Linked DNA regions of Tribolium castaneum. The protein of the gene in region 1 purifies or fractionates together with the protein of each later gene. This does not show direct contact. Links are inferred from orthologs where the notes say so. Each region holds a gene or a part of one and is shown on either strand. Other genes may lie near its edges.

Evidence for each region.
Region 2: the proteins of Cdk9 (region 1) and Larp7 purify together in Homo sapiens (affinity purification with mass spectrometry; 15 studies listed by BioGRID and IntAct, counting the BioPlex papers as one, with this or other methods). This does not show direct contact. The link is inferred for Tribolium castaneum from reciprocal best matches to the Homo sapiens genes CDK9 and LARP7.

Annotation. Positions count from the first base shown.
Region 1 is NC_087394.1:32,586,039-32,589,491, forward strand, and holds Cdk9 (cyclin-dependent kinase 9), read left to right. Parts: upstream 1-945; 5' UTR 946-1,171; coding exon 1,172-1,278; intron 1,279-1,348; coding exon 1,349-1,433; intron 1,434-1,480; coding exon 1,481-1,857; intron 1,858-1,914; coding exon 1,915-2,182; intron 2,183-2,381; coding exon 2,382-2,675; 3' UTR 2,676-2,853; downstream 2,854-3,453. UniProt on the Homo sapiens protein: Protein kinase involved in the regulation of transcription.
Region 2 is NC_087394.1:30,501,869-30,505,559, reverse strand, and holds the start of Larp7 (la-related protein 7), read left to right. Parts: upstream 1-749; 5' UTR 750-830; coding exon 831-1,005; intron 1,006-1,066; coding exon 1,067-1,904; intron 1,905-1,958; coding exon 1,959-2,181; intron 2,182-2,238; coding exon 2,239-2,517; 3' UTR 2,518-2,736; coding exon of another isoform or gene 2,737-3,012; 3' UTR 3,013-3,062; coding exon of another isoform or gene 3,063-3,434; 3' UTR 3,435-3,691. Other genes in the region: Gar1 (H/ACA ribonucleoprotein complex subunit 1), read right to left, coding at 2,737-3,012, 3,063-3,434. UniProt on the Homo sapiens protein: RNA-binding protein that specifically binds distinct small nuclear RNA (snRNAs) and regulates their processing and function.

The DNA.
Region 1 (3,453 bases):
CGATCCTTCGGAGAGAAACAATATTATTCTCTTTCTTTAAGATTTATATCAGTTAGAAATTCTATTTATTTTTAAGTAGTACCGTTGAGGTGCCCTTCCAGTTAACAACAATTTAACAGTCTTGTTAGGCATTTTAAACATATTATTAGTCAAGCCAATTTTTGTCCGATTGGCGGTTACAGGGTTGCAACTCCTTCAAAACCTGCTACCAACTGAAACATTGATTCTGGATCACTTTGTATCAAAAATGAATACACAGACCAAAATTAGCTTGTCTTCAAAAAAGTTAATTTAGGAATTCCTTCTTACCTTTTGCTCCTGCGATGAAATTACACGCGAAGATGCTTCTTCCAAAGAAGGAAACGAAGGAAATAAGATGAAAACAGGAAGGACAAGGAAAAATATTAATTTTCACAATTCGACGACACTTGAATATAACGGCGGAGAGTTCTCAAAAATCTGAAAAGCTCTTACTTAAAATAGTGTTTCAAACACAAAACACAACGTCATGGTACCTTTTTTCCCTTTTTTCCGAACCCAGAGTACCATCAAGACACTTCAAGACCATGGAATATCAGCGACCTCTTCACAAAATGAAATTAAGTACTATTCGTAAACAGAAAACTGTAATCTTCTTAAATCAACAAAAGGCACAACAAAAAATATGATTAAGAACGCAAAAGTGTTAATATTGATTACTAAAGTCTTAATTTTTACGAATGATAATGATATTATCATTTCCTATTTTCTTTAAATAAATAATTATATAAATAAATTTGTTGGTTTACTGCGTTTGTAGTTAGAACATTTTGGTAGCAGTGCCAAAATGCTAAAAGTTATCAATTGGTGTTACAATTTGGTAGATTTTTTTTTAATTTCGATAAAATACTGTATTTTTCGAGCTGAAAACCATTCGCGAGCAGGCTCACCCAACCGCGCTTTTTTTCCGTGACATTGTCTATTGTCATATGTCATTCCTGGAGGTTATGTTTTGATTGTGTGTGTTTTTAGTGCAATTGTGATTCAGAAAAAAGCAGCGGAAATGCATTTAAGTACTTTAAATGTGGTGTTTTAAACCTTCACACGTTTCTTCTTAATTGACGAAAAACTGTGCTAAATATTGCCTTGTCTAAAGCTTGTGCAACGTTAGACAAGAGGCGATTTTGCAATCATGAATATGCGAGATAAAGAGAAATACATTGAAAATTTCCATTTCCCGTTCTGTGATGAATCGGAAAAATACGAGAAAATTGCGAAAATTGGCCAAGGAACGTTCGGGTAAGTGACTTAGTTGGGGTTACTTGGGGTCACATATTGTGCCCCATTTGTTGTATTTCTCCGATTGTAGTGAAGTGTTCAAGGCGAGGGACAAAAGTAATCCTAAGAAATTCGTAGCAATGAAAAAAGTGTTAATGGACAATGAAAAAGAGGGCGTAAGGGGTCATTAATTTTTTGCAAAGCTTTCAAACTTGTATTCTAGTTTCCAATCACAGCTTTGCGCGAAATACGAATTTTGCAACTATTGAAACACGAAAACGTTGTTAATCTTATAGAAATATGCCAAACTAAGGCTGCATACCGCAACAGATACAAGTCAACGTTTTATTTAGTGTTCGATTTTTGTGAACACGACTTGGCCGGGTTGTTGTCAAACGTCCACGTTAAGTTTAGTCTAGGAGAGATAAAAAAAGTAGTGCAACAATTATTTAACGGTCTGTATTACATACACAGCAACAAAATTCTTCATAGAGATATGAAAGCCGCCAATGTGTTAATTACAAAGAATGGTGTTTTAAAATTGGCCGATTTTGGCCTAGCTCGTGCATTTAGTACCAATAAGAATGGACTGCCAAATAGGTGAGTTCAAACAGTAAATTAAAAAATTGGTCACTAGTTTGTAATCTACTATTTCAGATTTACAAATCGTGTCGTTACGTTATGGTATAGGCCTCCAGAACTGTTGTTAGGTGAAAGAAACTACGGCCCCCCAGTTGATTTGTGGGGGGCTGGCTGTATTATGGCCGAAATGTGGACAAGGTCCCCCATAATGCAGGGCAACAGCGAGCAACAACAGCTCACTCTGATTTCTCAACTTTGTGGCACCATCTGCCCCCAGGTCTGGCCAGGAGTTGAGAATCTGGAGTTGTACAAGAAGATGGAACTCCCCGTCCAAAAGCGAAAAGTAAGTCCCGTAGGAACAAAGATCGCTTCAATTATAAGCCTAGAATATTTATTTAATCCTCTGTACGAGGTAATGTTTCCACCACGTTCTGAACTGTAGTTTATAAACCGTAATTATTTACATATAAATTCGGAAAAAATGTGATTAAACAAGATCACAGATTTTATTTTTATTATTATTATTTTTTAATCTTCTCCAGGTGAAAGAGAGGCTGAAGCACTACATGAAAGACCCGTACGCTTGTGATTTACTCGATAAGCTGTTGGTCCTCGACCCCGCCAAACGGGCCGATGCTGATACGGCCCTCAACCATGACTTTTTCTGGACTGACCCAATGCCATGCGATTTGAGCAAAATGTTAGCCACTCACACTCAAAGCATGTTTGAATATTTGGCTCCGCCGAGAAGACCGACACAAATGAGGCATCATTCGTTGCCAAGACCGACAACTTCCGCTGTGCAAGACAGCGGATACCAAGATAGGGTTTTTTAGTTGTAAGAAACACGGACATTGTGGTTATTTTCAAGTAATGTGGAAATTGTTTCTAAAGTGGAAACATAACTGAAGGTTTTTCGGGAACCCTAAAATTTGATGTTACTTTTTATTATCTTTTTGTAACGTTTAATATGATGTTACTTAGTTAACATAGCGAATAAACTGTGTAAAAACGCTTGGTGTTTTTTTGGGGTGGAATGAAATGACTTGTTAGTACATATTATATATTTTATTGGTTTGACTGCACTGCCATCCGGCCTTACAATTCAACAACATGGCACACTGTACATGTATCTGTAAAATAATATATATGTATCTGTACATATCTGTTAGCTTGTTTCATAGATCCTCTACATAGGTAAATAACATTCTTGAAGGAGAAACCTTCATTCAAGGCACTTCAATAATCATTGTCTTCTCTTCATTTAATTAGATGTAGTTTCCTACCCATTTCAAATTGTTCTAAATTAACGCAATAACATTGTAACTCTGTTGCTAATTTAGTTGAGCTTACCGAAAGTTTTGGCAAAAAGAACTGGTAAATAAAATGAACCACTCATAACAATGACCTTTCAGAATACTGATTACGAAACCGTAAAATTTTGAAGGCAAATATCACAGAATGCCCAACAAATTACACATTAAATCACATTTAATTGTAAAACATTGCGGAGGACGTCAAACTTAACAAACGAGAAATTAATCAATCATGGCATATTTACATTTTCGGGCGCGGTTAAATTTAACCCCTCCTTCACTTAATTAACTTAACATT
Region 2 (3,691 bases), about 2.1 Mb from region 1:
AGCCAAAAGATAAAAACATCTCCAAAAGTACATAGTTAAATAATAAATAAGCACGAAAAAACATCGGCAAAGATACTATGAGTTAGTTATGATAAATGTTTTTTTTAAATGACTGTTGTAATTTAATCTGATGAATAATTTTACTTATGGTTTCATAAAATTTAAACCTATTGTAAGATTGCTCAAGTTGGTGGCTTATATGTTGCTAAGGCGATAACATCAGTACTTATACGTGCTGATGTTTAAATTTCACAATCCATAAGGCAAACAATATAAGTATGTCAGTGATTTAAGTAACTTAATGTAATAAACAACTTACTTTTATCATTTTATCGGTGACTTTATAGTTCGTTTCTAAGAAAGATGAAATCAAGGTGAGTATTCAGTTTCACATAATGGATTATTTGAAACGATTTGAAGTACTATTCAAATTCATGGTAAAACTTAATTAAATTAGTTAATAAAGTATAAAAGTTTTTTTTTCATAATCTAAACTAAATACATAGAGTTATTCACTTAAGACTTCACGCCTGATTAGGTAAAAAGTGCAGCACACAATGCACTAGGAGTAGCATGGGTGTAATTGATACAACTAAACATAATTATTTTTTGAATAAGAGCTATCTCCTATGAATAAGAGTAAGCGGCGTATAATTTAAAAAGTAAATGATTTTTTTTGCATTCTAAAAACATTTTTTTTAATTAGGCAACCAAATTTACCTCCAACAAATATTTTTTTTCTATGGTTGGCGGCAGTTTCTTTTTCAATTTCATTTCCAAACGCTAAGTTAGGTTATAATTTTCATTTTTACTTCTGCAAAGTATTGAAAATGGAAAATGAAACGAAAGAAAATGCAAATGCACACGACGATTCAATACTTAAAAAAGGTCGCCATCGAAAAAAGCAACTCTACAATTCCATTTTGCAGCAAATGGAATTTTATTTTAGCGACTCTAACCTCACCAAAGATAGATTTCTATCTCAATTAATAAAGGAGAATCCTTGTAAGTGACTATATGATTATTTTATGAGTAGTTGTAGGTAAATACCAAGCACTTTTTTCAGTTGTCGACCTGAACGTATTTTTGAAATTTAACAAAATTACTAAACTCACAACCAGCATAGATGATATCCAAAAAGCTGTACAAAAGTCGCAGTTAATCGAATTATCAGAAGATCGTAGTAGAATTCGTCGTACAAAACCGGTTAAAGAAAAGGCTAACGTTGATGATTGTACGATTTATGTAGAACGCCTAAAATCCGATGCAACTCATGAATGGTTGAACTCTGTTTTTTCTGAATTTGGAAATGTGGTCTACGTTTCTATACCAAAATACAAAAACAATAGTGCCATAAAGGGTTTTGCTTTTGTCGAATTCGAGAAAGAAAAGGAAGCGCAAAATGCTTTAAATTACTTTGAAAGCATTGGCTGCAAAATGCCGTCAAATACAGAACCAGAAACTCTTTGTAGTATTAAAACATTTGAAGAAAGTAATGAACAATCTGAGGCTTCCTCTAAAAATTCTACACTGAAGCCAAAATCTGGAGAAGACGAAAAGGCAACAAAAAAGCGAAAACTTGAAGACAATAGTGAGAATAGCGAAAAACTAGATAGTGAACACTGTGAGAGTAAAGCGGAGGAAAAAATAAGAAAACGAAAACTTGAAGAAAGTGAATCCGGCGAAAGTGAAGAAAAAGGGAAAAAAATGAAAGTCGATGATAGTAAGCACACTGAAGAAAATGATGAACACAGTGAAAGTGACGAAAAAGAAAAAAATTCAAAACATGATACTGGAGACGTTTCTGAGTCGGACGATGCCGAAAATAAGAAAAAGAAGAAATTGAAAAAAGAACACAAAAAGAAAAATTACATAAAAGAATTGGGCCTCCAAGTGTTATCAAAGTAAGTGAAGCAGCTAGAATTATCTTTAATCATTGATAAATAATTGTTTTTTAGAAAAGAGTGGAAAAAGATGCGAAATCGGTATCTAGATTTACAAAAGAAGAAAATGAAAGAGTTTAAAAAACACCTTCTAAAAGCCAAGTTTAATCAACCAAATTATGAACAAAAGTCGAAAACTCCCACTGCTAAGACTGAACTCAACAAAGAGGATTTTACCAAGGGACTTATTGTAAAAATAAAGCTAACCGAAGCTACCCTGGATATAAAGAAACTTAAGGTAAATTTTCTAAACTAAATATCTTGGCCAATTTATTTGCGATAAATCGTTTTTCAGAATGAAATTAAAACTTCTTCAGCTGATATATTGTACGTAGATATTCCAAACCCTGGCAGTGAGAACATTTATGTAAGATTTAACACCACGGAGGGCGCTAAAAATTTTTGCTCCCAAGAATCTTTTGGCAAAAAAGAGGTATTAACAGGACAGGAAGAATCTTCATATTGGGAAAAAATTAAAACAGATCGTGAGGATAAACTAAACAAAGCAAAAAAGAAACAACGTGGTAGAGACAAACTGTTAAAGAAAGCAAAACATACAAAATTTGATGATTAAGGTTTTGTTTTCAGTTTAAATTTTTTTTAAATATTCTTTATTTATTAACTTTGTCAAACAGTGGCACCATCCATTTCGTGTTGTTTGCTGACATATTCACACAAAAATTTGAAATAACCTGTAGTTCTTATTTTTCATAGATCTATTTTCGTAATAAAAATTTCATACACTTAATGGAACAATTGCCAACCACAAAAAACATTGGTCACAATTTCAAGTCTACCACCTCTTGCCGCCGCCGCCCCCTCCTCGGCCGCCGCCAAATCCACCCCCACGACCACCTCTAAAACCGCCGCCGCCCCCACGACCCCCACGTCCACCGAAATTGCCGCCTCCTCTTCCTCCAAACCCGCCGCGATTGCCGCCCCCTCTGCCACCACCGCGGCCTCCGCCACCCCCACGACCTCCCCCTCGACCGCCTCGTTTCTGGACTGAGCCTGGGGGCTTCGGTAGGAATCTTTGAAGTGGTAACAACTTCGCAGGATCAATAAACAACTGCAAAACATTATTTTAGATGTGTGAATGGTAAGTGAATTTTTTTATACCTTTTGATTCTTTTTAAAACTGCTAGCTTTTATGTCGTCTCCGAGACGTATCGAAACGTAATAATCTCTGAGATTTCCAAAAATTTCATCAATTTTTCCGATTTGTTCCTTATTTTCGAGGTAAATCGGCGCATTGAAAAATGGAACGTCTTCTATTTCTACTTTAGCAACTAAATCATCTTGTACGGTGTAATCGAAGTAGCCCAAAGGAATCACTCTCTCAGGAGGGCCTTGATCATAGTTTCGCCCGCCGCCCCCGCGACCACCAAAACTATTTCTCCCGCCGCCTCCACCAAAATTTCGAGCGCCGCCGCCCCCACGACCACGACCTCCAAAGCCGCCACCACCGCCGCCTCGGCCACGAAAAGACATTTTGTTTCACTCCTCAAATAATTAGAAACGTAAAAGAGCGTCCCTTTGTAAACACGTGGTTTACACTAAATTTTCAGTGCGGCAACATAACCTCTCCTGCAAACGTAACCTCCAACTGTAAACACTCCTAAACTTTGGGCCCTCTAGGAGTTTTCTGAGTTACCATCAAAACAGAAAACTGTAAAGTTAGAAGATGAAGCTATAACTTCAAACCACATGTGTATAATTAGTTGCATACTTTGAGGGAAAAAAACATT